Drosophila melanogaster: one gene and its partner. The gene in region 1 interacts genetically with each later gene. Each region holds a gene or a part of one and is shown in the gene's direction. Other genes may lie near its edges. The genes, in order: Ih and VGlut.

Region 1 (17,168 bases):
ATATACCATCGGGCACCTGGCCAGTGATGAACTCACTGATCTACTTGGACCTAAGCCATAATCAGCTGGGAGACACTCTAAACGGGGAGAGTTTTACAGGTCTGTTGGTGGTGCAACGACTGAAGCTGCAAAACAATGGCATCAGTCAGCCACCAAAGGATGCGGTGGCTGTCATGTCAACACTGCAGTACTTACATTTGGAGGTGAGCAAATGCTATGAGAATTCTAACCTCCAAACTCATCCAACTTTTTATTTAGAACAACAATATTACGACCTTAGAACGAAGTGCCTTTGGTAAGCTGCCCGTCTTGTTTGAGTTAAATCTGTATGGTAACCAAGTTAAGGATATAAGGTAAGATTTATCTAAAATCTGTACATTTTTTATTTATAATATGACTAATAACCCATTTATAACTTGTAGCAAGCGAGCTTTTGAGGGACTGCTGCAGCTGCTCACTTTAAATTTGTCATCGAACGGAATCCAGACTCTGCAAAATGACATCTTTGTTGGTCTACCATCTCTGCGAAACCTTGATCTGTCCTTCAATTCTCTCACCAAGTTGGACAACAAAACCAATGGTGTTCTGGATGATTTACTCAGTTTGGAAACCTTAGATTTGAGTCACAATCGTATAAGTTTTGTTACCAAGAAAACCTTTCCCTCTCATCAGTACATTCCGTACAACCTAAGAAACCTGAACCTAAGCTACAATTTGATGCCAATACTGACCTATGATATTACATTCGGCACCAAAAAGCTGGTTCGGTTGGATGTATCTCACAATCAGATCAACGATCTAAGGAGAGGAGTTATCTCTAATTTTACTTCACTTCAAAGTTTGGATATGTCTTATAATGAACTATCTAATCTGAAGTCTGAAGAGCACATCTTTGACCTGCCTCAAAACCTGAGCTGGTTGGACCTTTCCCACAACAAAATCTACCACTTGCCGTTCGCCAATCTGGTGAAAGTGAAATCCCTGAAATATGTTGATCTTACCAACAATAGTCTGGAGGATGTGCCCGCTTCGATAGTGGGCAGCATGCGTAATGGTAGCCAAGTACTTCTGGCCGGAAATCCTCTGCACTGCGGATGCAATGCACGACCGTTGAAATACTTTATGCTGCAGCAAACGATAGCTGGAGAGGATTTGAAGAGTATTTACTGCGGAACGCCGGCTTTGATCAAGGACAAGCAGCTTATATCTTTGGACGATGAGTATCTGCACTGCGCCGAGGATGAGCAGGAGATGTATAAGGGCATTGACTATGAACAGCTTACAGATGTCCGATTCCGAGAAGTGAAAACGTATGCATATTTTGCAGTTTGAACTTAAAGTAACTTATAATCCTTGTACATTTTTCAAATAGCAACAAAGCGGGCATGTTGACCCTATGCTGGTATGTCTCCGGCTTTTCAGACGTCTCAGACTTCCACGTTTATATCCGAAGCAGTAGCAACGATGTGCTTCACCAGTCGGACTATGCCTATAACAATCGTACTGCCCAAATCCCGGTGGAAGAGCTATCGACGCTGGGAGAAGAGAAACTTCGAGGCGCTGAGATATGTATAGTATCCCGGGATAGCGATGGAAATACGCGCAAGTGGTTCTCCGGGCAGTGCCAGCAGCTACCTTCGCTGAAGCGGCCCCGGACTTTCTTCTTCGGAAACTTTCAGGTCCGCGGTGGCGTTTCCCGGACCTCCAGCAGCCTACCTCGTTGCCTTTTGTATATAATACTCGTTTTGTTTGTTGCCAGATTGTAGTTAGCATGGGAAAACTGTGCACCAAGATTATTTTCTTAATAAGTAGATAACTATACTCGAAAATGATTGTAATACTGATTGTCTTCAAGTTACAAATTGTGCACTTTATGTATGTAAAAATCGTTTTAAGTTCGTATCGATGTGATAAAATGAATCTTGAAAAGAGATCAGATTGTCCTTGATCTTTGATCCCATTGTTGGCCGTTTGCTAGTGTGTGTCGCTGTGGCCATGGCTCACTGTAAGGACACGCTGTGCTCTGACCTTACAGCTGAACATGTGCGCGACGCCCTATTATCACAGCCGTGCGCACATGTATTTGTTTACTTGGACGCCGCCTCGCGTGGGCAGCGCAATTCAGAAAGCGTTGGAGCCCACAGCCAACCCAACGGGCCAGCTGATGGCTGATGGCCCAGGCTGGCTGACTTTCATTCAGGGCGAAAACACAAAGGCTGTAATCCGAAGTGCTCTTCGGCGCGGCGATTCATTCTCAACTCGGACTCGGCTCCTGTTTGTGCAGCGGGAGCGGACAAAAGGACTGCGAGCGAGTGAAAGGACTCGCCTGAGAGCCTGGCAAATGCGCACTCGCGCTCTCAACCGAAAAGGCATGCGAGTAGCACACTGGCGGTCGAAATTGTTTGCACAGCTACAGTATCGGCATGCTCCTAGAATTATGCTATTGTTTTTGTTATTTGGCTCTACAGTTTCCTGTTCTGAATATATTTAATTTATTACCAGGGGGGAAATATACATACGTTAGCAATGTTTTTAAAGCTTTATTATTTCTTAAATATATACAACACAAATTTAATGTAAAGGTACAGCAATTAAGATTGTTTTTAATTTTTGGATTTTATTACTGAGGTAATTTCTGATCAATACATGTGTGTATTACACCCTACCTTATTCGATAGCTTCCAGGAGATATTGAAGGAGCATCCAAAGGACCTATCAATTCGACCGAACCTCCACTGTGCCGCAGGACACGAGACACTAAGGACATGTGCACTTTCACTGCCGCGCGCCACCCACATGCTCTCGGTTTCACTTTGGCCGCAGAAGAATGTGCTTTTGTGCCGTTCGCCTTTGCCATCCTGGTCCTCCTGCCCCCGCCGCCTCCTCCTTAGGATTTTGGCAGGCGACTTTGCCTGTCCTTATCGATTTTCAGCGAATCTCGCGGGCTCGGCTCGGCCGTTTCTGCTTCTGTTTCTGTTACCACGGCGCACGTCAGTGGCATGCGAATCGGGAAGCCAAGTTTCACTTGTCGCGCTGAGTTCGTTCGTGTCGCAGCAGCAGCAGCAGTCGCAGCAGCAGTAGCAGTCGCAGCAGCAGCAGCGAGTGTGCCGTTATTCCGTTCGTTACATAAAGAAGAAATTTCAAATAGCAAGTTTAAGTGCGCTGCTCGGTGGCGAATGGCATAAATCAGCATTCAGCGAAAGCAGCATTGTGATAAACATTTAAACGAAAGGAGCCAGCGCGACCCAATAAAAAATAAATTAAAATAGCCAAGTGAAATCAAAACGAAATCAAGGAAAAGTAATGAAATAATGTGCATTTGGTGAGCCAGCGACTGTGTATCTGGTGTATAGAGCCCAACATATATGAAAATATGAAATATTAAATGTGCCGTAACACGGGCGTTGAAAAAATTACCAGGTAGTCGTGGGCTCGGGAAAAAAAGAGAAGTTCCAAAGGGGCGAGGACGAGGTGGAGCAAGCTATTGGAGGAGAAGGAGCAGTAGGAGGGAGGAGGAAAGATGGCGAAAGACGAAAGCGAACGAAATTGTAATAGAGGTCAAAAGAAGCATTGATTTAACGTGTGCACTTCCTCCCACTTTCAGCTCCACTCCTCTTGGCTTTCTCTTCGTCGGCTCCTCCTTGTTGTTCTCCCACCACCCACGCCACCACCACCACCACTACCAGTGCCACCCACCGTGTGTCCTGTGTGTCCTGTGCCGTTCTTCGTGCCACGACTGTGAACTGTGTCTGTGCGTGCCTCTCTCGCAATATTTGCGTGTGCGTGCCTCCTGTGTCTCTGTGTGTTATAAATAATTTGTTTAAAATTCGTCAAATCGCTTGACGTTTCATTCAATAAATTCCATCTACCAGGACACACGCTCACACACACTGGCACACGCACGCACACACGCACAGACGCAATGCCCCGTGTGGCGCCCGTGAATCGTGTATGTATGTGCGAAAAATGTTGATGACGAACCACTTACGTCTATCGCAACCCACGAATCCAACGAAACCACGACAAACACAGCCGCAGCAGCTGAAAAAATCGCATGTAACACACCAACACAACCGTACACCACACACACACAAACACGCCCATACATAGCCCTAGGACACACGTACCGTTCAATATCCAATAAGAAACCAAGCATAATTACATAATCAAATAGAACGACTGGCAAAAAAAATAAGGAAATATAAAAAGACAAGAGACAAACACGAATAAATAAATAAAAAAAAAAACACGAGCAACAAAAGCGGAAACCAGCGAAAACAAGGACACGAAAGCAAACACGATAAATCAGCGCAAAGTGCAGCATTATTTAATCAACGCCAGAGTCAGTCAGCAAGTGGAAAAACCCTGGAAACGCCTAAAAATAAAGGACACGCGATAACCAAAAATAGAACGTAATGATAAAACCAAAACCAAAGTACCTGCAACAATGAAATTGAGCAAATCTTAAAGGCGTAACCCAGACAAGCAAGCCCAAGATTAGAATTACTTTTAGAAATATACAAAAAGACACTCGCTATATACAAAAGTGCTATAGATAAACGATAAACGCTATCCGCAGTAAAAACAACGCAAAAAAGCAAATAAATTAAAGTAGTTCGTTGACGTTTGTTCACCGCTGGAAGTTATCGATACAGCCCAAGGATATAGAGCGTAATCCCCGTTGAGATAGTGTAATGGAACTAACCTCGTAGTTTGTAGAGAGACCTGCGTCTCAGCCTGTAGGACAGCAAATTCAAATAACCGCAACATAAACGCACTTATCGACTAACTAAAACTACCAAGTAGTTGCCTCTCTATATACAATATATATACCTATATATATATTTATACACCTACGAGATATATACAAGATACTTAGCCGTAGCGATTAGACGAAAAGCGCCAGTCTGTACATCTACCTATATGGATTTATTTTTATAATGCCGCTAATGCAAAACTGGATCCCCGCCCTCGACCTAGGCCTTTCAAATTGCATCTGAATAAGTAACGAGGGCGATATTAATGCATTAATTGGGTGACGAAGGACGTCGCCACACGGAGTCCCAAGGAGGGACTGTTGCCGGGTCCGGATCCTTTGCGTGTTGCTCGTGTCAGATACACAAATACGCCCAGAGCCGTAATCCGTGGACTCGCAGAGGAGGAGTGATACGAACGTACAGGACGAATTAAAGCTACCTGCTTTGGGTTTCTCGTGTTGCGCTGCCTTGACGTAACTCCGCCTTAACTCGCGTCGCTTCCATTTGCCACAAAAGTGAAAAAAAAACAGAAAATAAAGGGCGACCGCAAAGCCAAAACTGCGGTGCGTTCGTTAAACTTTCATGACCAAACATTAACTTAAGCAGGGAGGAGGAGGTGGAGGAGAGGCGTGGCCAGAAGCCAGGTTGGAAGGCCAGGCGGGATAGCATACATTTCGGAGCAAGGAAACTGAGCTGTCATCATCACTGTCCCATCCCCTCCAACAGCTAGTTTGTTATTTGTGATAAATTATTCAGTGATCCACATTTCGGATCCCGATCCTGCCCACCCCACTTCAGCTCCAGTTACCGTTACCGTTATCGTTATCGTTACAGTACCAGCTCCAGTTCCAGGCCCCACCATCACATCTGTACACCAGCAACCACCAACCGAATAGCAACAATAACTATACCCTAGTGGATAAACGTCATTTATAATCCAGAGTACAAAGTACGAAACTAAAACTCAAACAAAAGCTAAACTATAAATAGTAACATATGGTATTATTATACACGCAACTCAAACAGATAGTGTCATAGAGTCACATAACCTCAAAGAAACGAAAACGAGCGCATAACGAAACAAAACGAAAAGTGAAGAACCATAAGCAATATAAACAGTGCTGTTGACTATTTTAGAGGCCACCTTTTAGATACCGATACCTTCTCACCCAACCTACGTTACTCAACCAAACACCTATGAACCCACCAAAAACGAATCGAAAACCTAACCTAACCTAAAACCTAAAACCTTAAAACACGGATAACGGCGAACAGCCCCATGTGCGAGTGAGACAGCCCGAATAAAGAAGAAAGAGAGTAACACAACGAAAAGCAATTAATTTTTGTTTACGTGTCCGTGTGCGCTGGACTTGTATTAGTTAATGCCAAAAATCGAAGCGGAAGTTGCACCCATACCTGCACACCCAACTACCACTACAACTACAATACACATACACACATACTGAGCCACGATGACAAGGCCAAGAATTGCAGTGGGCATTGCGGGGCCTTTCCGGCGGCAATAGCAATAGCAACACCTTGAAAAAAAAAACTAAAAAAAAAGCAACAAAAAATAGCAGCAAAAATATCCCCGATAATAACAGCCACGTTACGTTAGCGAAGGTGGCGCGAGTGGTTCGATGTGGTTCGAATTCGAGTTCGAGTGCAGGTGGTGACGTGACAGCGGCGGCGTCGTGGGTCCAAGAAAATGCACGTTAAACACACTCAGCGCCGAGTCAGCGGTCCTGGAGCCTTCGGAACCTTTACCAACGATCAACGGTAGGCGTTACCCACTCACTAGCCATCCTTGTATGTCCTTGTACTGTTGTTGTGCACGATGTACGTTGTACTGGTGTGGGAGGTCGGTTCAGTGCAGGACGTCCGTTATCCCGCATTTCGGACTCCTCTGGCCGGGATCTCCCACGTTGTACAGTTTTGAGATGAATGTACTTAATGTTTCAGTTTCAATGTGATCTCTGGGGTGGACCGAGTTTATTATGATAGACCATTTTACGTATTCATATATTAAAATTGCATTTTTGTTTAGAATATCTTGGTTATAATTTAAATTATTCAGTATCATGCATTTCACGTTGGAAATTAAATTATTAATTAATTCTTTTTGGAAAGATTTAAAATAGAAATAAAGTTAAAGTGCCTTTAAGGCAAGGAAAATGTTTTAACAAGCGTATGGTATTTTTTTATGAAAAGGGTCAACGCTTCGTATGAGCAATTTATTGACACCATGGCGTATGTGTAATACATTCTGCCCACATGGCGTATGAGTGATTCATTTTGAAGTCACATAAAATGAATTAAATAACCCTAATAAAAATGTAATATCTAACATTGTAAGGTCTGTGGTCCACCCTAGCAATCCTGTTCCTTGTGTTGTTAGTTTTGTTTCGTTTCGTACCGTTATGTTCAGTGTCTCTGTTTCGTTCTTTGTCTCTTGAGTTACCCTGTTATTGTTGTTGATGTTGTTGCTGCTGCCGCAATTGCTGTTGTTATTGTTACTGTTCACATTCATACGTGTGTGTGTGAGCGTTGTGAACCAGTGTGTGTGTGCGTTTGAGCGAGTTGCCAAGTGCCTTTTTTGCTGGCCTCCTGTGAACTGATTTCCTGCTCACAACGACCAACACCGCCCGCCGCCCACTCTAAGGGGTCATCCGTCACTCCAGTCAATGCAATTACGAAACTAGATTAAAAGTCAAGCCAGGCCGACAACAATGGCCGAGCACCGATACCGATACCAATACCAACACAATACAATACAATGAATTGCATTGCTTGAGAATAGTGTCAAAGTACTTTGAGTGCGAACGCACGCAGTGCTGCATACTTTCAGAGGCCACTGTACATGTAATTGCATTCGTGTGGGTGTGGGCCAGTCTGTGTGATTGTGTATGTGTCTGAATGAGCGGAAGCTTTCGTTTTTACTTCAATGATTAAACCACTGACCGAATTTCGGCTGGCATTTGTTTGTGTGTGTTTGTATGTATCGATAAGCACTTGCCGACTACTGCATTGTTGTTGCCTCCCACACACATACATAGCTTATTCACCGATATATACACACACACAACCATGATAAAAGACAGAGACGGCGACAGTGAGTGAGCGAAGCAGAGGGCCAGATAAGCTGTTCTTTTCTTTTGTGCCAAAAAGGAAGCCCGATGTTTCCAATTGAGCTAGTTCTAGTTCCACATTTCCATACACTCGACAGCAACAAAAACACCAAATACCCATTCAAACATATAGGCACTACCCTTACACATACATAATCACATACAGATACACATACAAACACATACATATATGGGCAGGACCCTCTGGTGTCTGTGTGCTTTGTGCAGTTAATTTAATTTCTTATCCCCCAAACGAATCTCATTTAAGTTATTTCCCGCTCAGTTTGTTAGTTTTCAGTTTCGTTTCCTTCATTTCTCGTTTATCGTTTATTATTTCCATTTTGGTACTCGTCACGTGAATAACTTGGATTTATTTCGTGTCCTTGTCGTTGTTGTTTTGCAGAAAACTTTGCTTGAAAGTGCAAAAACGTTGAATACAGAAACTAAGAACCAACCAAAACCGAACCAAATCAAAAACCAGATCAAAATCACAAACCGAAACCGTTATCGAACAATTTGCAATTTACATTTGCATTTGGAGCGATCCTAGACATCAGCTGTGAAGGTACCGCCGACCAACTTCCGAATTCTCCCCATACTTTCTCTCTATATCTCTTTTTGTCTCTCAGTGTCTCTGCCTCTCTCTCTCTATATAGTATATATAGATCGTAGACTCTGTATGGTACTTCCCTACTACTCTACTACTACTAATACTAACTACTTACCGTTACAATTCCAACTGCAACACACATATAAGAACTCAAACACAGTCACACACACACACACACATTTAATGCTTCTAACTTTTCTGCTCGTTACTAGAAATTAGACGGAAAACTAAAAAAAAAGAAAACCCACCACCCCCGCAAGTTTCAACTTTTGAGCTTTACCATTTCTGGTTGCAAGCATAAAGTAAACTCATTAACTTTGATGCACTTTGCTAACTTACCTGTCCCTCAAAAGTCCATCGATAAGAGTTTCGAATGCATTGCTTTAATGACTTTTTCCCCACCTCGCCAACCCTGCCCTGCTTAAGATCTTTTGTAGTAGCCCCACACACTTCGCTTACCCTAGATGAATGACAATCCCGTTTGCCATGTATCTCACACAAGTCGAATCCAAAATTTATTTACAATTGGCATGCCAAATGGTTGTGATGTAGCATTTCTTTGTTTGTACACTCCACTGATTTACACAATTCGCTGCCCGCAAGCCTGATTTATTAATTGCTGGTCTGTCGTTATAATTAATGGATAATTTGGCTGAATTCTGGTTTAGCCGAAAATCGTGTTATTTATAGTTGAGCTGAGCTCTCCCATCGAGTTCTGTGTTCATTTGCCTGCCCAGCCGGAAATCTTTTGAACTCAAAATTTAATTACCGACCGAGAAGTGTATTTAAAATGGCATTTTCAAACAAACGACATTCGATGAACCATTCGTGAACTCAGTTCGTTATTGCAATGACCTTAACCAGGTCATCACTGAGAGTTTTCAGATATATTCTGATTATATTTAGGGTATATGTACGTTGATACACTTGAGAAATATGGTTTGGAAAACTTTAATAGGGATCGAATTGGTATGGGAATATAAACATATATTTCGGTAGTTGAAAGTTTCCATTCCCCCAGCATTATTATAACATAAAATTGTGTAAAATATATTATAGTCAACTTTTCTAAACAGGCATGTTCAAAGTTTTTATAAAGATCTTAAAATTGTGTAAAATAAATCGCCATTTCAGTTTCCGATTCTGATTCACTTTCCCCCATACGAATAGAAATCGTAGATATATGTATTTTTGATCAAATAAAATCCGCCTGACTGCATAGACTGTGTAAATTGGCACAATGGTAAACATTTGTGCACTAAAAATGGAAATTTTCGTAATTTGTTTACACGGAAATGTGTATCGAGTGGCATGTTTGGCAATTTGCTTTCAATTTTTGTTTGATTTTGCTGGCGGGCGCTTTCAGTTCATGAGCAATAAAATGCATAATATTGAAGGATTTCGGAAACATTCGCCCAGAATCAGAATTAAAATAGCTCAAGCGGTCACGCTAAATGTTCCAAAGGTCAAGACCATGAAAGAATTCCGCAATCGATCGGATTCAGGGAAATTAGAACACAGCATCTCCGCCGAGACAAGTAGATCAGTTGCAAATATAGTTGTGGATCCCCCATTTGGGAGCTCACAGCTGCACTTGATTTAATATCGATGAACGAAGTGGAATGCAGGCAGGCAGCCAGGCAGCGACTCAATTACGTACGCCTTACGAATTTACGCTTAATGCCTTCAATTGGCTTTCTGAATTATTAATTGAGGCATATTGTGTCTCAGCCGCGGGCGGCGGGGCATTGGTGGCGATTTCGATGCCAGAAACCTGCTCCACCAGACTCGTTTCGCCACCAATATCAAAATCCCAAGCTCTCGAGGATGGCCAGCACATGCTCTGCACTCAAAGACTAATCCGCTGGCCGGAGGGCCACTCCAATGCACCAAAGTTGACATTGGACGCAGGCCACGCCAGAAGGTTACACTGAGAGAAATAGAATAATACGTATGTGGAGATGCCTTAGATGCGGCATAGCAACAAAACATTTTACATTCAATTTTTTTCTTGGCATAGCAGAGGTCTCTATAAATATTTATAGCAATGATTATTAAATTTAGTAGGAGCTTAAGGTTAGGACTGAATATATACATTTACTTGTAATAAATAACTTAAGTGAGATTTCTCACTCATTGAGCCCAACTTAGCCGGTGGATTGGGGCAAGGGCCACATTTGACTGCAGCACTTGACAGGTGGCAAATACTCGAGGCCAAGATGAAAAAGCCATCAGACAGGAAGCCGAAGAGCTGGTATTCCCCGGGGCACTCGATGCTTTCGCTTTGATTTGGCTTTGCCATTGCCATTGCCTTCTCAAAAGTGACTTTCGGCCAGATTAGGTCCGAGATTGGCAAGAGGCCGCCACTCGGTGGCGGATGTGCGATTGTATCTGGGCATCTCGTTCGATAACTGCAAAGTGCACACTCATCGGCTGAGCATTAGCGTGCAAATATTTGACATATTTACTTGTATTTGCACAAATCCCATTCGAATTCGAATCAGAATTGGGATAATTGCGCCTCTGGCGTGAGGCAGCCAGCCTTTGCCTAATTGACCGAAATTGATTCGACTCGATTCCGGGGCTGGAAAATGCTATTTGCTCTGCACCAATTTCCCGCCCCATTTTTCGCGCTCAACTCTCGAGCTTGGCATCCGGCATCGGAATCGGAAAAGTTCGATGCACGCACACCGAGAATAGGGCATCCCCTCCTCCTTCCCCAACAAATGTTTACCTTTGTTTGAAAACGTGCCCCTCCCCCTGCCTGCCTGCGCCGGTGTTTAGCTATATCAACAATAGTTTGCCTCACGTTTCGTAGCATTGATTGCCCAAGGCACAGTGGGCTTGGCCGCACAGGTAGAGCTCATTTCCATATAAGTGGGCCACACTCGATACAGCTTCCCATGGAGCACCACTATGCACCACTGTGCGCCGCTGTGCTCCCACGCTCCCTTATCAGCCATGTCCGTCTGGCGCAGCCTTATCTTATCTCGGCCATTTGGCCATTTGATTTAGGGCACTTCCGCCGCCCACCGTGCGGAATGCTTTCAGCGCCATTGGGGCACGCGCTTCCAGCCATATATCTCCATCGAATCGGTGTGTTTCTGCATCTGTAATTGTATCCGTATCTGTATCTGTATCCCTATTTGTATCTCTATCTCTATCTGTAGTTGTTTGTTACCGCTTGTGTATCTGTGGCTCTATCAGTGCTTGGCCTGCGTGCCGCCATACATTAATTTAGTTGAATTTTTCGCGCGATCAGAAACCAGATGAGCATGTCAACCATTGTATATAGATGTCTCTATAAATTGTATCACACATCGCGGTCACATTGGGCACTCGATATAAGGGAAAGCATTCTGAACAAATAAGATGTCACATTTGAACAATTAAAGAACAAACATTGAAAAGGATGTTAAAAAAAACAGCTTATTTTAAATATTTTGTAAAATATGAAGAGCATCGAGATGCAAAGTAGACAATTAAAAATATAAAATCAATAATAAACTTTCGTCATTATTTACCTAATATCTTTCTGTAGTCGTTAGCTCAACTTAAGTCCATTTGACAGTAATGATGATCAGGTTGAGTCACACTTTATACAGCAAAAATCTTGAAGTCACGAGACCGCTGAAGTCAACAATAATTAGCGAATAACGTCCATACTATATCCTATCATTAATGCTCAGACTTTTAGTGGTTCAGTATATCCAGTGTCCTCTGTGCGGTGAACTCACATAGAAGCCGGGAATGCGATACAAACCTTCCCCCACCACTACCGCCCCTCACCGCTCACATGTTGCACAATCAATATTTATAATAATTAAGAATTTTCTTTGTTTGTCTCGCGGTTTTCCACACTCGCACACACTGTTTCCTGCTCACTTTAGCGTGGCCCTCTGGCCGACGAAACCTGCGTTTCGTCTCCCTCCAATGCTTGCCTGCCAATTTGAAATAGATAAATTTGAGTGTTTGCCAGCGACGCTGGCCATTTTTATTCTGCCATCGAACACGGTACTCATTGAAGTCTCCTCTTTCTTTCCGCCACCCCCCACTCCACATGCGGCTCCTTGGGCCGCCCGTGATGATTCCGCCAGCAGTGCCAGCCGCGACAACTTGTGCCCGGACAACCAGCAGCAGCAACAGCAGCGGCACTCGCACTCGCACCAGCACTTGGTGCGCCAGTCTCTGGTGAGTCTCAGCAACGGCCAGCCGGCGGCATCGGCGGCGCCGGACAGCGTCTCGCTGCTGCGAGCGGGCGATGACCAGCAGCAGCATCCACAGCAGCCACATCTGCAGCAACAGCAACAGCAGCAGCAGCACCTGCAACAGCAACAGCAACGGCACCGCAGCAGCAGCAGTCGACTATCGACAAGTGGCATATCCAAGCAGAACTCATCGGACAGCAGGAGCGGACTGCGCATCCTTGACAGCAGCCACAGTCCGGTGAGCTGTGGCACCCAGAGCGTGAGCAGCACTGGTGGCCAGTCGGCGCTCTACGATGCCTGTCACGAGTATTCACGCAGCTTGAGTGCAGCTGCCGCTGAAGGAGCCGCTTCGCTGCTCAAGAGCCACTACAGTGACCAGCAATTGGCGCAGACGGAGCCAGACCCAGAACCGGATCCGGAAAGGGATCGGGATCGGGATAGGGATAGGGATAGAGACCGAGAACGGGAGCGTCGCCACCTGACCAACCTCAATCTCAATCTAAGCAGCGAGTACGACTACAGCGGAAGTGATAAGCAGCAGCTGGTCAACGAGACGTACATCTTCAAGTGCATCGCCAACAGTCCATCGTTCCTGCGCACCAACAAGATCAAGGAGCAGTCCAAGAAGCTGCGGAATCTCTCCCTCAAGACACGCACCGCCAAGAAGAAGGGCCAGATTATCTCCAAGTCGAACGCGGTGTCGGATAACTCGTTGCATCCGGGCGACAAGTACCTGAACTTGTATCTGGTGGAGAAGAAGCACTCGCTGCAGCCGCAAGTGGCCTCCACGTCGAGTTCCATCAACACCACGCATCCGCAGGCTTCCTCGGCGCCAGCCAGTTCGTCCTCCACGTGCACCAAGGCGCCGCAGTTGCCCGCCTTGTCGGCGGTTGCTGCCCGCCAGCAGCAGTTGTTACTAAACGGATCGCTGAAGGGCAAGGGACAGAGTCAGAGTCAGGGGCAGAGCCGGCAGACGCTGCCCGGCCATCGGGCGTCGGTGAGGAGCGAGAGTGGAAGCGGGAGCAGCCACACCATTCCGGCGACGGGAAAGAGTCCGCCGGTGCCGCACTCGCTGGCGGCCAAGATCAGCAGCTCGGCAAGCGGCAGCAAGAACTGCAATTTGCTCAGCGCCAGCAGCAACTCATGCCACAAGCTGAACGCCCACGCCCAAGGATCGGGAGCAGGATCGGGATCTGGATCGGGATCAGGATCAGGACCACCCGGACACAGTCACTACGCGGCCGCCTCGCCCAAAAGTTCGGTCAGCAGCAACGGTCACCTGAACAAGTACTGCCTCACGGACCTCACGCGCCGCAAGGCCGAGTTCAATCGCCAGCTGAGCGCGCCCACGGACTACACGCACCACTCCTCCAGCAACGGATCGCAGCAGGAGGGCTCCTCGGAGGCCAACGAGGGCCACGAACCGGTCGGCGAGTCCACCATCACCGTAGCCAGTGCCGGCGTATCGTATCCGCATCCGTACTCCTATCCGTATCATTACGCGCACCACGCCTCCTCGGCCACAGCGCCGGCCAATCTCAAGGCGTCGCTGCAGCTGCACAGCTTCGGGAGCCACCATCCGTGTCCTTATCCGGCAAGGCCCACGTCCACGTCGTGCACCAACAGCTTCAACCGGCGCCACATTCGCCGGCACAAGGGCAAGCTCGGCGATCGGTGAGTACTGTACATGAGATTCTTCTGAATTTCTATTTATATTTACTACAATGTTAATATTCTACGTTTTTAATATGGCATAATAACATTGTGTTTGGTCCTATAGTTTCGTTCCATATGTTTTAGATACCATCTCTTAGCTTATCTCTCAGATACTTCAGTGGAATTAGTCATAACAATAACAGTGCACATTTAATTGAAGTATTTAATATTGCCAAAGGCCAAGGCCATTCGCTTAGTCAAATATTTTGTTGTATAATCGTGAAATGCAAAAACACTGTGATGTATAATCAATATCATTTTACCAATTACCTCCTAGTGGAAAAAGTTCTTTCAATGGAATCACAGTGTACTTTAAAAAGAGAAACAACAAAACTTTTGTAAAAAACTGAAAGAAAAGGGGATTCCAGAGACCACGACGACTTGTTTCTCAGTTCGGCGGATTCCCCCGAAAAGAGAGCGCGAAACTCAAGACATTACCCCGGCTTACAAGTGGAAATTACGCGCATTCAAAGCGCCTGATCGCCTACTACTACCGGTTTTTTTGAGTGCCTTGGTCTCCGCTCCGCTTATCGCCGGGCATTTGCATAATTCCGTCGTCGCAGACCGAGGGAATCTCACTCCGCCGACCTGCCTTTCGCCTCGGAACGCGCAATAAACTTCTAATGCCCGTCGAGCAGTGAACTCCACATTTTGAGCGGATCGAAAGTTGGAGCGTCAGCTCGGAAATACCAATAATCCCAAGGGTTCTGTTCTACACAGTCTACAGTCGGTGTGTGCCTAGTGCTAAAGTTAAAAAAAAGTAATATTAAACTTTTTACGTTCGGAAAGAACATATGTATGAACGCGTTCTAAAATGAATTTACGTGCTTTGGTTGTTAAACCAAAAACCGCACTCTATAAACCAAATAGAAGTTTACAAATATTTAGATATTTTTCCAAAACCTTGAGCATTTTTATTAATAAGGAGTCCACTGGATTACCCAAACAAACGTTTGTCATTGTGCGTGATTTCGTATAAGTAATTGAATCGAGCTCGATTATCAGCCTGATTGCGAGTAAACAATGTTTGTCAAGTAAACAATGTTTCAATCGGTCCGTGTGAATAACATAAGTGCACAATTTGTCGCCTCCACTCAAGATCACAAATTGCGAACGAGACCCAAACCGACAATATATAGCTTCCTCCTTTCCTGACCACTGATATCCAATCTAATCTTCGCGTGAATCGAACGCGTTAACCGCATAAATTTGCATAAAATCCAGACATATGTATGTATATTTGCCCATCACTGTTTATGTTTATGTTCCATGTGCTGTTCGCTCACTTTTCGGATAGTTTTGCTGTACTGTATCGTACTGTATTTTACTGTATGGTCTTTTGCTTTTATTGGCATCAATTTTTGTGAAGACAGCCCGGTCCAGGGAATTACAAGCAGCCATAATTTGCGTCGTCGATCGTCGCGAAATCAATTAAAAGGCAGCACAAATTCGTTATTTATTTATTGTGCAACGGCAGCGGGGTTCAGAACAGGTTATCAAGTCGCCGCAGCATCAGCATCACCCATCAGCAGCAGTAGCTTAATAAAAGTCTGGCAAATAGCAAATTAACTAGTTGCCATAATAGCGAAGAAAAAAGACAGGAAAAGATAGAAAACATTGAGATACAAAGAAACGGAAAAAAAAACCCGGCGACAAGTGCACGGTGTCAATATCTCAATTATTTAATTAGGCAATTGCCAGCCAATTTCGGAAGCGAACTGCAATTCCTGTACCAATTGATATTCGAGGTAAGAATATCGCTCAACCAACCAGTCAGTACGGAAAGTAAAAATAAAGAATAGTAAGCAAACCCCCCATTCCATCTTTCGCTGCTCGAGGACGCACGAGATCCCCCATCCGATCTGATCCAATAGAATACGATGCGATACGATACCATACGATACGAAGCATTCCATTCCGAACTGGCCACGATCTGGTCTCGTTTTTCGGAGTGTTTGCCGGCGATTTCGATTTCCAGGCGGTTTGCGAGCGGCAACTCGGCCGGCGGTCGCTAGTCGCAAAAAGTTTGCCGCTGTAATCACTCCAAGTGCCGGGTTCTACTCTATATACATACGTAGCTATATAGCACGCTTCCAGACTTCTACGATTCTCCGTTTCTCGGCAGCCGCACTTTGTGAGTCGTTTGTGTAATCTGCATCAAAACGGCGGAAAAACATCTGCTTCAGCACGTTTTTCCAAGTTGCTAGGGAAACAAACCCAATAGTTTCGAATGCAAAACATCAAACAAAAATCAACGAAAATTCCAAGTGCGCCAGTGAAGTGCGATGAATTCGAAACCACAATTATGAAATGTAGATTGTAGCAAAGTGATTTGATTTCATTTGATTTGTGTAATGCAATAGTCGACGGCGGTTAACAATAGCAATCACTAATAAATTCATTAGGCTAATGCCAAGATTAAATTAAATCAGCTTCAACAGGCTTAATTAAAACGAAACTTTCCAATTTCAAAGTACACTCAATTGAGTGTGAAGAGGCGAAAAGAGAGCGCTGTTTATAATAATAATAGAAGCACAGACACAATTACGAAAAAAGTATTATCAATGTACGAAAATATCAGTACGTCTAACCGTGACGCGAAAACCCATACCCATATACCCATATACCCATGCCCATGCCCATGCTCGTATCCAAACTGAAACTGAAACTGAATTGGAAACCAACGTAACCGCGAGCACGCGTCTCCATCTCTCCGGGCTTTAACAATGGGGGTCCGCCGTGAACGTGA
Region 2 (17,168 bases), on another chromosome or scaffold:
TACAATTATTTTTATTGAGCATAGATTTGAAAGTTCTGCAATATGATTTTTTGCTTACAACTTGACAACTTCCCACATCGAGTGTTCCAACTTTGGAGACACATTAAAAGGATTTGGCTTGGCACGTGCCTCCGCACACTTGAGATGGGTGATGAAAAATAATAAAAAACGAAAGTGGAAACTTGAGGAAAAGCGCGGAATTAGCATTTACTTTCAAAGAGCGTGTTTATTTGGCTATTTATTCAATTTTAATTTCAATTCTTTCCGCGCCTTTCTCCCTTAGAACAATCAGTCACGGTCGCAGAAGAAATAGATGCGATTACATTTAATTGAATTTTTTCCGCGCTGTGTTTGCTCAAGAAAAGCCAAAAGCAGAATTGAACGTATTGTATTACCAATAGAGAGCGGGATAGGAAAAAAAGAATAATAAAAATGCGTATCGCGATTGCCAATACGGGGAATAAAAGAAAAGTCGGAAAACGTGATGCGGCCAAGTATTCAAATTACGCTTTTTGTGGGGCGAAATTGAGTTGAGCTTGTTACATTAAAGTTGCCTCATGCATTATTTATATTCGAACTAACAAGCGGCAAGTGGTCATAAAAATCTCGCACAGAAATTACCTGTTGATGAGCCACAACTTGTGCTAGTTTAACCCTCAATTACCAAAGTCTCGGGGGTGAAATCGAGCCACATGAGCGAGAGAAACCTTTTATGCTCCCTGGGGGAGAAAATTAAAATTTCATCAAGCTGGCGGTATTAGGAAACACTTGGCGCGCTAAATCAATTTGCCATTTTATAAATCTTCATTTCGCACCTGGGACGTGATCCTGGCGGGCGAAAGCCACAGGTGGTCCTGCCAAAGGAAGGCCAGAAGCTGTGGGCTAAGCCCCAAGTGAAACGTGACTCCACGCGGCAGCCAAGGATTTGCACTTTTACTTCTATTTACTTTTTGGCAAGCATTTTATTTGCCCGCTCATTTCAATTAGCTAAATGCCCAGTTTCACACCATTTGCCTGATTGTTTTCGTTGACCAAATGTGTGGGTAGTTGTGTGTTTTCGGTGGTTCATTGCCCATTTGGGGGGCATTTTTAATTTCTGTAATGCCCTTTGTGATCTCTAAATGGTTCGCTACTTTCGGTACTAAGTGCACTCCAGTTGCGTATTATTGTTACACTCATCGTCGACGACAGTGAGCTTTTAAGAAAATTATACAATTGCATTATGACGCCGCACTGACCACTTCGCAGCCTCGTTCAACCTTCTATTCCTCATTGCTATCTCTAACGATCGAGTTTAAAATTGCCAACGCATCGAAAAGCCAGGGGAGGTCCTTTGGGCCTCACCACGCCAAAAAGCGCAGTCGCGGGAAGGGGGGAGATGTACTACAAATCGCTCAACGGGCGGCCCACGAAGGACGACTGTCAATGTTTTCGCCTTTTTGCAGTCGGTGGGTGGCATAATTTATGGCCGCCCATCGTTTCCCGCACTACTATTCGGGTTTCCCGCCTCTCCACTGCGGTTATTAAAATGCTCAATGCTCTTACCCATACCCAAGTCCAGGTCCCCACTCCGGTGTTCAGTCACGGACTCCAGGACGTCAGGACTCCAGTTCGCATTGTCGTCAGACAACTGCAAAAAAGTGTAGCACACTCGCCGGCGCCGTCTAATGGCAGCTGAAGGACCAAGCACAGTGGAATTTCAACTATTGTAGTTTATAACAAAATATATATTATTCATATTTTAAATAACTCTTAGGTTCTTCGCCTTAGATAGACATCGATTAACGTGAACATTTGAATGAGATTTATAAAATTTAACATTTAATGTTTTCATTCCAATATCATGTAACCTTTATCCACTGTCTAAGCTTCCCTTTCGCCTGATAATCAATAAAATGTTTTGGCATTTACTTTCATTGTTTGCTGCTGAAGCTGCTGCCGCTGCAACGCCCCCTTTGCCACGCCCGCGCTCAAGGACTATATTTGCATATATTTCGAGTGGCAACTGGCTGGGCATATTGCCGGGCTTTATATCCTGCCGTTCGCCGTGCTCAAGTCCTTTGCCAACGGGCGTGCCTCGAGAATTGTTTCACTGTCGTCGTTCATTTGGCTTGATGTCCCAAAGACTGAAGACACAACATGAAAGTCGCTTAATCTACTTAAATGTCTTTTGAGTTGAAAATCTCCCCCGTTCGGCCACTACAGAATCTTACACTTTGAAATGAAAAAGGTAAGTATTTTCGGAAATATTTCGAAAATGTGTCATGAAGCAAGTATCCTTTGAACCTTAAAGGTGCTCCATTCATGGAGCATTTCATTTGGTCACTAATTGTTTTCAGTGCAGCTGTGTGCCTTCGAATTGAGACACGGATTGCATCCCCTCTGACAATGGCGTTATTAACATGGATTTATGGCGTATCGCTCGCAGACTTAAGTCTGCCGCTATTAGCGCTCTAAGATGTAAACAAGCTGAGGCCGAGAAAAGTTTCCAAGGAGCAGGACGACGACTCACATGTCAATCAACCCAACTGCAAGGTAACAAAGCAGAAAAACGCAAAACTCGAATGGAAATTTTGCGGGAGAAGCCGAAAAGGTAGCATCGGATAATTTCAATTAAAAATGCCTTTGAAAAGGCATTCGGTGGCTGGCTGGCAGGGCAACCATGACAAAGCTTCCTATTGATGTCCTAGTCCCCCAACGTCCTCAACTGCCGTATCAGCAGTTTTAAATCAGGGAAAACCATGGGTTGATGTTGATTCGGGGTGGGCCATGTTTCATGGGGTGGTGACTGCAGCTTAATTGAGTTTCGCTTTGACGGCAACCGCATAAAAGGCAACAACTTTTAAGTATTCGCATTCGCAGCAATTAAAGTCCTGCGCCATTGCCATCCGTGTCCTTTTTGCCAAGGCAATCTGCTCTTGGACAGAGGAAATGTAATATTTTTCTAATGATGACAAACACATTTTGTGGCTTCTTTACACAGATGACCAGGGGGGAAAGCAACTTTAACTTCTAGTTGACCTAAAAGATAAATACTTTAAAATGTATAATAAATTTTTAAGTTCGACAAAATCCTTTACAAGGATAATATTTCTTTTCTTATCATTACTTTCAATTCTTTATGGTAGATGCTACTACTTTGGAGATATATCAAAATGACGAACCGAAGCTTCAATTTTATGTAAAACTTATATCATATAGATTGCTCTTGTTAGTCGTCCCACTATTCCCTCTAATTCCATTTCAAAACTTTTTTAATACTACCACCCTCTAATCTTCTCGACTTTTTGGGGTGCATAGATATTTAGATGTATATATATGTCTCTTTACAGCATCATAAAGTTATCAACTTGAGGGGCTTGTTGTTGCGATGACGTAGCAAACAAATTTTCACAGCTAACAATGGGCACGTCGTCGCTTCTGTTCTGCTGGCTCCGCGTCCACCATGCCTGTCACTCCATCCTGGAGTCATTTTGTCAGCCCGTCGTGCCCATCCTCCCACTCGTCGTCCTGCCCTGATCCTTGATGGCAGCATAATTGATGCACTCGAGCGTAAGTGATTAGATTCATTATGATGCCTGGCAGGCAATGGCAACGAATCTTCTTCGGGCGGGCAGCTGGAAAGGGGGTATCAGGTGTCCAACGGCGAATTGAAATGTTTGAGAATTCATAATAAATGTATTAAAACCGATTTAAGGCCACGGAAAAGCACGGACTGCCCGTTCTTGCTAAATGATGTGTGACAACATTTTTATTGCCCGCTCTCGGTCACCCTTATCCTGCGCCGTGGACGGGGTAAAAGCCAACGTGCGCCAACATTAATCAAGGCATTCTAAAGATTCAGGCTAGCATTTATGAGCAAACTCATGCATTTTGAGGGTAAAACTCAAAAAACGAACGCAACAACAGAAAGCGGCACACGCCGGGCGACAAAAGCATTTGCTTCCGGTATACCGCCGCCTGTCACCAGGACTTCTACACTCGACAAAAAATATCACATAGCATTGGGAAAATACTTACAATGTCTTTTTTCAAATGAGAAATTAAATATGTAGTTTCTATTTATGGAAACAACATGGGACTTTCTCTGCATACTGCTGCAGTATTTTTGTTTAGTGTAATAAATATGAGGTTTTGTGTTTTAGTAGGTGGGTTGCCTGCGCATTGTAGCTTGAAATAAAGTTGCACTGACTGACGCTTTTCGCCTTTTGTATTCTGCTCTTATTGTTGTTCGGCAAGCGAAGAGAAAAATGTATTCCGAATGAATAAATGCAATATACTTTCTATGACCCTAATGGATTTCGTTGTTGTTGTACGACGGACAAAGAGTTGAGTCCTAAATGGAGGCATATGCTAATTAGGATGGGTAAGGCGATTCCTCCAAGTGGGGTAGTAGTAGGAAACTATGGAAATATATGATAGTTTCATGTGTCTATAAATCCAAAAAATACAGAAGCTGTAAGATAAATCTCCCACCGAACAGACATCTCAAAATCCCCCGTTTCATAGTTCGCCCCTCGCAGTTTCCATCATATCTCAGACGCTTCCAGCTATTTGCACACAAACAAAAATAAATATTAAATCTCAGAAATCGTTTTTGGGCAGCGACACACCCTTAACCCCCGACCTGCGTGATTCCCCCAGTCCCAAGGATTCGAAATGTTACTCCGCTTACTATGTGCCACGCTTATCGACGAGCACAGCGTTTAGTTTGATGATTGAGTGGGTGGACATGTGGATTGACAGCATGAGTCTGCTGAATCCACAGAAGCTCATCAATTTCCCGCCTCGGTGGGAAAACCACTCGCATACTTTTGACGATTTCAAGCTGAAATTCGAGAGCTTTTAAAGTCGTCACAGTTTCGGCTGGTAATTAAAACCGCGTGAAACCCTTTCACCGAAAGTAATCCACCGACGCCCATTCCCGTAATTCACTCATAAATCAGACAACGAAAAGCCATACATCATACGCACCGTGGGGAATCTCCCGAAAAAAGTACACAGAGATGACAAAGCTGCAAAAGTTATTTTGTAATTAGTGCAAGCGGCAAGGACGACGGGAGACCGCCGCGTGGATAAGGACACAACAGGCCCAACAGGATAATGATGATTACGCTGGCGCAATGAAATTGAAGACGACTTTCTGCCGAAGCTGCACTAATTACCGCTGACGTGCGATGGGAACTGGGAGGCCAGCGGAAGTCCTCGCCCGATTCCAGGACGAAACTCCGTCCGGGGGACTGTCAACTCAAGTTTGACACTTTTCTGCTGACAATTTATGAGAGCGGGCCAACAGCTAAGGTTACCGATTTGAGCACAGTGGGTGTTAAAGAATCATTTTGAGTGAGGAATATTATAAATTTGTCGAAATTATAGATGAATATAGCTTGCAAATCTCATATGCATATAGAACTTATTGTAATTTAAAAAATATATATATTTGACTAGCACTTTTGTAGATTGAGCTTGTAACCAATTTGAATGTTCGGTTTTTTCCACTGTGCACGATGGGCACTGACTGACACTCGATCCGGCCGACAACGTCGCCACTTAGTTTAGAGTTTTATGAGCACAATTCGCAATTCGATTATTCTTCATTTACGTCAATCAATGTGAATGGCGCTTTTAGCCGCTAGCCACGCACCCTTAATCGCTTTGTTTAAATAGTAAAACGCCGCACGGATTGGGCATTTTTCGAAATTTAATATCGCAGATGCTTTTATTGTGCCGCCGTCTTGTCTGTGGAAATCTGTCTGCCCCGAAGTCTGGCTCATGCCGTAGACGTAGTATCTGTATCTGCAAATGTATCTGTATCCCTTTCGAATGCGAAAATCCCGCTGCCGTTCTGTTGACTTTCCTTTCATTTCCCAGCTCGGCTGTTTCCTCGTCCCGCTTCTTGTTTATTTCGCTTTGCTGTTTACTTCCGCAACTTTATTATAGCTTTTGGCTGAGTTGCAACTGTTTGTTGGCTGTTTGCTTTATGCTTATGAGGGTTAGGCCAACGCGTCGTATTCGCAACGTGGCCAGGACATCTGGAGGGGATCCTGGAATGGGACGCCGAACGGAAGCGGGGATTTCTATGGGGCATGGATTTTTTCTGTCCCGTGAATCGATGTGGTTGATGAGAATCGAGGCAGTTGCTCACACTGTTGACCAGGATTATTAGCTACTTAAAGTGGCCATTGAGAATATTCAAGTTGAGTTGAGCCTAATAAGTATATGTGTTGTTTGGAACTGGAGATTCTTTTCTCTTTCCTTGAATATAATAACGAATAATAATAAACGAATCATTCTGCTTCTTGGGGCTAATAAAAGACAACTAGCTTTGGTTTTAAATAAGATCAATTTAGGATCGAAAAATCCATTAGAGTATTCTAATAAAATGAATCAAATGTTTTTTTACCGTTAGACCGCCCAGTAATTAATGATAATCCATTAGATAGATTTCAAGCTCCCAAACGTGAGAATTTAAAAAGCATCACGTCCGATTCGAATCGATCAAAGCCAAGAGCAAAGGACTTATTTATTTGTAGCCGGTCAGACTTCACGATTCATATTGAAACGCTCATCCATAAATCGTAGCATTTTCCAAAAATTCACCAAGTTTGGAGCTATTTTGAGCCCCCATGCAGACAGGGGAAAATATTCAAAATGGCTGACATTCTATAAAAAGGCGGCAGAAGGACGCAGGACGTCTGTGTGCCAGGAGGAAAACAATGGAAAATGGCCTGGCAACATGTTAATAGCATTTCACGCACGACTGAGATTCGCATGCCAACCCAGAGAAAGACATTCCCATGTACCAGGACCTCTGATTGGTTCTTTTTGGCCAGGTGGCGTGCCATTCCCCCACAGCTGTCCCCAGTCTCAACTGCTACAGTTGCCATTCGCCGTCAACCAATGCCGAAGGACGAAGGACTCTCGAAGGATTCTCGAGCCTGCGCAGCTGTCGCCTGCGTCGCGAGCTTTTCACCACAGCGGGTGCGAACGGGACGGATGCGTTGATTATGCTGCGGAGGAGCATAATCCTCTGGCAGGACATCCATCTGGGCAGACAAGAAAGGCGAATGCGGGCGCTTTTAGTTTCACTTCGTGCGTTGTCCTGCTGAGGCCAAAAAGCGAGCCTGGAGCTGCGGGTATATAGCTGGGAAAATACATCTAAAATATACCAATAAATCAGAAAATATAGTTCAAAATATCCGAATAATCGTGCTAATATAGCAAGTGTTTCGAAAAAGTGCTGCCCTCCGGCTAGAAGTTGAGAAATCTACGTTTTTCTGGCAACGCCTCGTAATACCCTTGAAAAGAAAATCTCGCACATTCCAGTGGTTGAAAATTTCCAGTGTATATACTACGCTCCTCCCACCCCTTTAACACCCCATCCCACATTCGCTTCATCACTAGTCCCTCCGTACATATACCCCTGTATGTGATACATTCCAGGCCGCGATGGCAGCTTATGTATCCATCTTCCGCTGCCACCTGTCCTCCGCCGATCTTTGGCTGGAGGTCCACAACGCGGCTGATTTTGAGTTGGACGTCACACAGTCTTCAGACAGAGTTGGATTCGGATCACCATCGTCCTCGTCGTCGTCGTCGGTTCCATAGACAACCTGCCGCCGGTCTCGTGGTCAAACTCTGTCTGGATGTTGTCGTCCCACATACTGAGTTCTTAATTGGTTTATCCAAAGTTTTAAGTTTTTCACTTTAGTTTCATTTCTATTTTTGCGGGCGAGTGTTGCTTAGAAAATGTGAGACTTTATATAAATAAATACAAAACATCTATAACGATATATTTTAACACATTACCAAGAAGATATATATTGTTTTAAAAAATTCTTCTAATTATATTAAATCACCTAATTCCATATCCCTTTTTATCCCATTTGCAGCGTATCGCGTAGTGAATAATCAAGCTATATAATCTGTTATCTGTGTACCTTATTTGTGATATCCTAACCAACAACAACAAAATAAATTAAACGATTTTCGTTGTCTACTAAAACATAATTTAAGCCAAGTTAATCACCAAAAATATCTGTGCTTAAGTTACGACTAGAGGCCGATTATATAATCTTGCACCAACTACGAAATGGATTACGTAACTCTGGTGTGGCATGTAAGTAGGCGTTGTGGCCAAAGGTCAAAAGTACAACTGTTTTGGGGGAGGAGCTTCCAATGGAATCATCTAAAGAATTTTGTGAAAAACGCCAAAGAATGCGTACATATATACTTTACATTTAGTTTCGAAATTCCTGATCTAACAAGAAATAAGCTAGTATAAAAAATGCACAAACTTAAAACCTATGATTATTTCCATTGAATTTGTTTTCTTATTATAAATTGTAATTCTAATAATTCCAATAATCGTAACATTGCTAACTCTTTCGAAAGAGATTACCCAAATCAAAAGAGGTGTCAAATTTCATGCTCACACCAAATGAAGCATAAAACGCTATCAAAACCGCTCACAATGCCAGAAATATTTACAAAATGCTCTGCCGGCTCAGTAGTTACCCCTCATCACAATCATTTCGAAATTCTCGTGAATTTATGAACATAAGCGGCTTACAAGAAATGTGCAAAATGATGAAATTGTACGAGACTTTTGCTTATCAGCAGCAGAACACAAATTGCCGGACCCATTAATAGCCGCATACAAATCTCTTTTGCAGGCACTGTAAATGAAAATGCACAAACTCCACGAGAATCGAAATCATATGGCGACCAAGTGAAAATCCCCCGCTGAGAGAACGAGCCAACCCGAAAATAGAGTCATCAAATTTGTGCTGGCTTCACGGAAATTAACCGCCGCCGATTCGCTACGCTTATATACACGGCAATCCGCCGTGAAGTAGGCAACAAAATATATTTATGCGCCCAAGTGATAACGGCGCAAAGGCAACGAAGCACAACAGACGCTGACTTGGGCGAAAGGACAGCAGCAGGAGCAGGACTCGTTGATCCGGAGGCAGGGGCGGAGTGAGGACAGGCGTCTGGGAAAATCAGGACTACTAGCTGAGCAGCAAGATGAAGGGTCTGACGGCGTTTAAGGAGAAGGCAACGGGCGTGTTTGGCGGGTGAGTCGATGTGATATGATATACTCTAGTAACACCAGACAGCAGGGTTTGGGTCTTAAAGAATATTCAGATTTATAAAGGTTTTTTTTTTTTACCAGCAAGAGGATATATTTAAGCATAGAAAGCAGATCTATATGTATATTTAAAATATATCCTCATTTTGTTGGCAAGTGTACAGCGATGATGGGTGGCAATATGCCCGAAATGAAATATGATTGCAATCAAATGGACCTGCGGAGAACAAAAGGGAGAGAGTTTAATTTAACGCAAGGATGGTCGGTGCTCGTGGTTGGCTGAACTTGACCATGCCAGGATAATGCAGTAAATATGTACCGATATTGATACGCACTGGCGACTAGCCGGCGTCGCGAAACTTCGGCACGTGTCGCGCCCCCCCCGGAAAGTTGTAAAATTATTGGCATGCTTAACAAGTCATTAGAGGGGGTTTATAGGGATTCTAAGGACTTGGGACTTGGCACTTTTCACTGGTGACAACGAACGCAGTGGCATGCGGACGAGCTCACCGGTGCGTCAGGAATTCCGGGCACGTTGGCAGCACGTGTCCGGGAACTTCAACTCCGGCACCTTCGATTGCGGACGAAACGCAATAAAGTCGTGCCACTGGGACATATTGGGCAAACACTCGATGAATGTGTGTGGTCGTGGTATGCAATTTGATGGGCACACCTCGTCTGATTTCTCAAGGACCTTGAGTGCTAAATTAGAAATTGGAACAATAGGTGGCACATCGCTTTCATTACGGAATTTGTTGCATACCGACGAAGGCTGCTGCAGCGCTTAAGGCAAATGAAATTGATTTTTACGAGCTGCGAGCCGTTTCCGTTTCCGTATCCGTATCCATTGCCAACAGGACCTGGCGCTGAAGCGCTCGAGTGGCACTCGGCGCGAAGAAATTGAAATGCCTCGTTGGGGGAGTGCTCAAGGAGTTCCTTTATCCTTGCTAGTGAAAATGAAATTAGAATTGCCATTGAAGACGCGGTCGTGTCGCTGACAAGCCCCCATTCTCCCACTCCCCCTCAGTGCCAGAGCATCTTCATCACAGTTGTCAGGGCAAACAAACTAATACACTCCATACAGCTCTACATATACATATATATCTGAGAATGTGCCCCATTTACATCTCTAATGGTCGCGTTTTGTGGCCACGTTAAAGTCAAAGGCGAATTGTACAAAAGCCTTCTGCTTGTGGCGCCAGTTATCCTTAATCTGGGCGGCGACAAAAAGTCTGCAACATTTTTACTGACAATCAATGCGGAACTTGAGCGCCAAGGATAGTTTGGCTCATCTTCAAAAAATTTGGTGTCTAAAAAATGCGACGCTGATATGTTCTAAAATGAATATATAAAAAAAAAAAAATAAATAGTCAATCATTGAAAAGTAACTAGCTATTTCTATTTAAAAACCTTTAAAACCCTGTTATCATTCATATTTATGTGACTGATTTTTCAATGCCAAGATCTTAATATATTACCTCAAAATGGTAATCGAATCCTCTTTTGTCCTATAACAGACCTAATGATGGGCATAACGCAGTCCCTTTTTGCGAAGGGCATCAAATTGGCGTCAGCCTTAAAGTCGGTCAAGGCGCAAGTTGCTCGAAGGACGCAAGTCGTTCCCTCAGCTCCTTTTTTTCGCTCTTATTCAGGAGGTCCTGCGTGACCAGACGAGGGTAGCTTTGGCGGCAGACAGTTGAGTTATGTGACAGGCGGCGACTTCGACGACGACGGCAAAGTTATATCCACTGTAGTGGCTTGTTTTTGGCTGGTGGCTGCTTATTAGTTTGTATTGCGTACTTATGGGGACTTTGTCTGGATATTTATGAAGAAAAATTCCAAATCCGTGGAGAGTGAGAGGGGCCATATCTCAGTTGATGTGTCACTTATCTTGGGTTAATGGCTTGCTCGGGGTGGTTAGGTGGCCAGGTCACCCCAGTTATCAGCAGATATCAGCTAACACACATCCATCAATCTGGTCGGTGACAAGGTCTTTTAACTGTGTTTAAACTGGGAAATCAAATCGGGAAATGCGATTGCGAATTCCTACCTGCTCCAATCAACTTTAAATACCCGTAGCCCAGCTATCGGCACTTAATAAAATTGAATTTTATTCAACTCCCAGGACGAAAGTTCTGCCAGCGATTCCTCCCCTCAGTCACCGCAATTCCACTGGGACCCTTGGGAAAACATCAACCACCTCCGGTGGGTGAAATCGGAAGGGGGTGGTAGCTGTTGCTGCTAACAAGCCGAAAATATTTGTGTTTTCACGCCCTCTCGTTGACCTGTTGATTTGGCCAGCTATCCGCTCTAATTGGCATGAATTATGCCCCAGGAGAAAATGTTTGGAAGACACTACACGACAGGATTGATTTAACTGAATGAATAATAAAAATCTTTTTTGTTTTTCTTCCACAGCCTGAAGCCCAATATGGAGAAGTTTGAGATATCGCAGAGCTATCATGGTGGCCACGGTGGCTACGAGGAAATGGAGGGGGGCGACCGGGAGGGCCGCGGACCAGGCGGCGGCCACGCCTACGACGACGATGACGACCGGCCCGACTCGCCCGCCTCCTTCGAGGAGATCGAGCGCCCGCCGCTCCGCAAGATCGACAAGTACTGCAAGGCGGAGTGTCCTTGCATGCCGGCCCGCTACACCATCGCCACCATGGCCTGCGTGGGATTCATGATCGCCTTCGGCATGAGGTGCAATATGTCGGCGGCCAAGCTCAAAGGGGAGCACAATGGGGTGAGTACTCACAGTGTAATAATCTACTTACAATCCGCTCAACACCAAGAACTCGCTTTATATTCAGCTTAAGTTCTTTAAGCTCTACACGGATGAAGAGTCGATTTTAAAGTTGTTCCTTAAATTACTTGCATATTAAATTGATTAAATTTTCGGCAGCGAATGAGCATTCATAAATTCGAGAGAGGAGTGAGTTATTCATAAAATTCGCTTCATTTGACGAGAAGCTGCTGTCAATTAGGGAGTGTGTGTGTGGGTGTGGGTGGATGTGGCTCAAAAGTCATACATACACAAAAGGACACGCACCCACACAGACCCATCATAGAAACCAATTTGAAATTCTGAATCCTGCTTGACGCTCGTTAATAAATGCCTGGAGCAGTTTTTAATGATTGCTGAGCTTCTGTCACTCATCCCGTAAAATGTGTTTCCGGATTTTTGCAGACTGTGTTCATGAACTGGACGGTCGCCGTGGAGAGCCATGTGGACTCGTCCTTCTTCTGGGGCTATCTGGTGACGCAGATTCCCGGCGGCTTCATCGCCTCCAAGTTCCCGGCCAACAAGATATTCGGACTGTCCATCGTGAGCTCCGCCACGCTGCATCTCTTCGTGCCATTCGCCATGACCCTGATGCACGGTCATGTGGTGATTTGCGTGAGGGTCCTGCAAGGACTCTTCGAGGTATGTAGCCCAACCAACCTAACAACTTGCCCAATTCGATTTTGCCACAGATCAAAGCCGGGGATTACGGCTGCGTGATGTTGCGAAAATGGGGAGGGTTAGATTTTGCTTTATGATAAAGCAAATATGTGAAATGGAAACATGTCCTAAGCCCTCAAAGGGATGGGGGTCCTGGGAGGGCAGGAAAAAATAACAAAAGCATTTATTTTAATGCGATTTCTTTGTGCCAAGGACTGGGAAGTATGTCATTTTTCTTCGAATCGGAAGGGAGAGAATGATACTTTGTAAAAAGGATGTTTGTCTATTCGAGTTCGGAAGTAACTATATTTTAGATATATATTTTTAATTTCACAAAGCACATTTTCTTAAGATACTATAACTGCATGAGACTAAGTGCATTGGAATATAGGACAATATCCTAATTGACTTATTTAAATAATCCATTTATTTAAACATAATCTCTTTTAGGGCGTTACCTATCCAGCTTGCCATGGTATCTGGCGTTTCTGGGCGCCGCCCATGGAGCGCTCCCGACTGGCGACGCTGGCCTTTTCCGGTTCCTATGCGGGCGTGGTGGTTGGACTTCCGCTCTCCGGACTTCTGGCCGATGCCGTGGGCTACCAGGCGCCGTTCTACGCCTACGGGGTGTTCGGAATCATATGGTACATGTTCTGGATATGGTTGTGCTTCGAGAACCCGCGCAAACATCCGGCCATCAGCATACCCGAGTTGAAGTACATCGAGAAATCGCTCGGGGAGTCGGCTCATCCCACGATGCCATCCCTGAAGACGACTCCGTGGCGGGAAATGATGCGCTCGATGCCGGTCTACGCCATCATTGTGGCCAACTTCTGCCGCTCCTGGAACTTCTACCTCCTGGTGCTGTTCCAGTCCTCGTTCCTCAAGCACAAGTTCGGTTTTAAGGTGGAGGAGGCGGGCTTCGTGGGCTCGCTGCCCCACTTGATCATGACTACGATAGTTCCATTTGGCGGCATGTTGGCGGATCACCTGCGAAAGAATGGTATCCTGTCCACCACCAATGTGCGCAAGCTCTTCAATTGCGGCGGCTTTGGCATGGAGGGTCTGTTTTTCCTATTCGTGGCACATTCCTCAACGGCGGTAAGTTATAAACAAATTCCTTTATACTCAATACTATAAGTTGTTTTTTCCAGACGGGTGCCATGTTTGCCTTGACCTGCGGCGTGGCCTTCAGTGGCTTTGCCATATCCGGTTATAATGTCAATCACCTGGATATTGCTCCTCGTTATGCTAGTATATTGATGGGTCTTTCGAATGGAATTGGTACTCTGGCCGGCATCATTGTGCCCTATGCCCTTGATGGCCTCATCCAAGCTAATGTAAGTTGGGGTTTTTTAGTGTAAGGTAGTTTCTGTAGCTAAGGTATTCATTTGGTATTGTAGCCTACCGGGTGTTGGACTACAGTCTTCACCCTGGCCGCCTGTGTTCATTTGGTTGGCTGCACTTTCTATGGTATTTTCGCATCTGGAGAGCTGCAGCCGTGGGCGGAACCTCCGGCCGAGGAGCAAAAGGTGTGGGCTCCACCACCAGGTGCCATTACCAACACGGATCCTAGCCAGGCGGGCATGTTGGGCGACTACATGAAGGAAACCTCATTCGTAAGTTTTAAAGTTATTACGAATTATATATTAATATTTCTATCAATCGAGCCACTACCTACAAAGCGTGTTTGTGTGTTTTTTTTTGTGAATAGGGTGCCCCCGAGTACACTGAGCAGAGCCAAATGCAGCAGTCGACTGCCATTAGCTACGGCGCCACAGGACACGTGGCCAACAATCCCTTCGCCATGGCCAGTGGTGCTCCGCCCATTGCGGAGGAGGATGCCCCACCGACCTACGGGGATGTTACCAATCCTGGGCAGTATGGCTACACGCAAGGACAAATGCCGTCCTACGATCCGCAGGGATACCAGCAGCAGTAATGGGTTCGCCATAGGTCACTGATATATATCATAGCTTTTAGTTGTAGTCGGAAATCGTTTGACGTTTATTGTTTGTTCTCGGTGTGCCGTTAAAGTTTTCCCCCCTTTTTCTCTCTATTTGTTGAGTTCCATCGATGGAGGGATCCGTGGACCTTTCAGAAGTATATAAATATATAACTAAAGAGTAACGAATTTGTCAGCGAATAAGGGGATTCCACATGCCACACTAACACAATGAAACTATGTACCTAACAGAGAAACTACATATGCATACACAGCAATACCGATAACCACTACCAATACCATTAGCCCACATAGACCCAAACTGGCCTAATCGATCTATAAAGCATATATAGTATATACTATTAGGGTCTCGCTTACGCGAATTTCTATTTACAAGCTCCGAAATCGAAACTGCAACACAAGATAGGGAAAGAACTGGAAATATATACTCAACACTTGTGTATATCATAAATCACATAATCCACACAAAGCCTATGATAATTATATTTATATCGGTATAATCGTATATACATATATAGCCAAAGATTGTTGTTGAACTGCGAACTGCAAGTTTTATTACCGTTGATGATATTATCTTCTGTGTAAAGAGAACATTTTAATCAAACCCAAGCAATTGTTGATGTTCGGCACGAATGATAACCATAAAAAGAACTAGCTAATCAAAAGTCATATGAATACTCTGTTAACTAATTACTGTTTATGTTTGTTGATATTATTTAATTCATTGATATTAATGCACCGTATGCTTTTGTGTTTAACTAACATGAGCAAGGCATGATGTAGGTACTAAAAATAATACTTAAGTAGATAGCCGTAGGCGCATATAACCTCAGACTTGGTCTTCATATGCTCACTACATTTAAATAATATTAAGCTAAAGGAATACTTAAAATAAATGTTTTCAGAGGATTAGGTTTCTTCTAAATACTATTCTATGAATTATTTTATACTAACGACGCAATCAGTTCATTTTGAAGCAAACTTCGATTTTTATTTACTTTTTCTTATAAACATTGATAATTTTGTAAGCCTAGGTACAAGTAAAGTGATTACTGTATAAGAAGTATTAAATCTCTCTAAAGTAATAAATTTAACCAATTTCGAAATATCTAGTAGATTGTAAATAAATTTGTTACCGTAATTTAAACTTTTTCGTTAACGTTATTATGCACAACTTTGATTTCAAAGCACAAATTTAACTTACAAAATGCACTGTTAATTATTTCGTTGTTCATTAGTTCAAAGCACCACTTGTTAATTTAAAGTTGTTAAAATTTAATTAGTGTTTAGTTGAGGTTTTCAATTACTGCCGCACATACATATTTAGACGCACTTACTTTCTCACTGTACCATTAAATATGCAAAATTACACAAATTATTTCTAGTCGTCTGTATATTACCCGATCGTATTAAGCTAGCCACAAGTATTATAAATAGCTATATATAAAGGTAATTTAAATTATTCACATTTAAATCACTATGTATTAAAAACGTGAACATTTTCTAACTAAAAGAGTCAATTCTAATACCGTAATTTGTACAGCGCAGCGAATAAATAATCACACAGATACTCGTATAGCCACTTACTTAATAGCTATTATATATTAAAATTTTAAATGTTCTTGGATCACAGTTCCAATTGAAGACAACAATACTGCTTGTGTAAGCGACAATACCTAGTGAAGTAAGCCTAGTTAATAGTTAAAACATTTCCATTGACCTATCATTTTTACTTACTTACCATTATGTTTCGATTTTAGGCTCAAATTTTTAAACAAATGCTCGCGCAGGCAATTAAAAATGTTGGCCACTGGGGCGTATGTGTAATATTAGGTTAGTGTAACATCCATTCTGTATATAAAACCGATTCTTCAATTGAGTATGGCTCTTTTAATCTGGAGACTATAACAATAGAGATTTCGATTTGATTTCCCTTTTTTAGTTTTTGAGAGATACTTAAGCTCTCGGGGCTGTGTGGACAATAATAACATAAATATGTTAACCAGAAAGCCACGGTTAAACTTTTGCTTGCTAAGATATAAAAAAAAGAGTAATGAAAATCACTTGACATAACAGTTTGTAAATAAAGCGTATCTCGTAGTTGAATGCCATCATTAAATGCTTTTGTGAGTAATTTAAGTGTACATAAAGCCAAGTCGAACCGAAAAGCATAACTAAAACCTAAACGAGCGCAACTTTAATAGTGTTAAACCATCAGTTTTGGCTATAACCAGTCACAGAAGAACAGGTCGCATCTAGGGTATTTTAACTACAATACATCAAAGTTGTGCATGGAGATGAATTGAAAGTGTGAAGGATATGCATAAACTTTCGTACAGAAATATAGGCGCACAATACCAGATATATGCTATTAAAATAAATCATTACTATATTCATTAATCAAATGACAAAGAGGCAGCGGAATTGCCTCCACAAAATCTTCAGAATATTTAAAAGATGTAGAATGATATTTACCGCTATACTTAAGCCGTGTATATAATTAGTAACAACATATTCTTTGTGTTCACTAAGAGTTCTGTATACACGATATAAAGTATTGAATCAAAATTATGAATATTAAACGCAATCGGAGATCCCTTTTCTGGCAACACCCGCCCATGTTGTATAATTTGTATGGTAGCTAAACCAAATTTGAATAA

Evidence for each region.
Region 2: of Ih (region 1) and VGlut, changing one suppresses a phenotype caused by changing the other (phenotypic suppression), as found in Drosophila melanogaster (one study listed by BioGRID).

The regions. Positions count from the first base shown.
Region 1 is NT_033778.4:14,273,107-14,290,274, forward strand, and holds the start of Ih (I[[h]] channel), read left to right. Parts: upstream 1-3,023; 5' UTR 3,024-3,420; exon of another isoform or gene 3,421-4,174; 5' UTR 4,175-6,465; coding exon 6,466-6,536; intron 6,537-8,288; exon of another isoform or gene 8,289-8,450; intron 8,451-12,595; coding exon 12,596-14,377; intron 14,378-15,030; exon of another isoform or gene 15,031-15,149; intron 15,150-16,087; exon of another isoform or gene 16,088-16,167; intron 16,168-16,432; exon of another isoform or gene 16,433-16,553; intron 16,554-17,168. Other genes in the region: conv (convoluted), read left to right, coding at 1-203, 259-353, 423-1,310, 1,373-1,766.
Region 2 is NT_033779.5:2,393,215-2,410,382, forward strand, and holds the start of VGlut (vesicular glutamate transporter), read left to right. Parts: upstream 1-7,080; 5' UTR 7,081-7,136; intron 7,137-7,536; exon of another isoform or gene 7,537-7,751; intron 7,752-7,892; 5' UTR 7,893-8,119; intron 8,120-8,675; 5' UTR 8,676-9,030; coding exon 9,031-9,080; intron 9,081-11,512; coding exon 11,513-11,843; intron 11,844-12,287; coding exon 12,288-12,524; intron 12,525-12,992; coding exon 12,993-13,643; intron 13,644-13,696; coding exon 13,697-13,882; intron 13,883-13,945; coding exon 13,946-14,161; intron 14,162-14,256; coding exon 14,257-14,484; 3' UTR 14,485-17,168.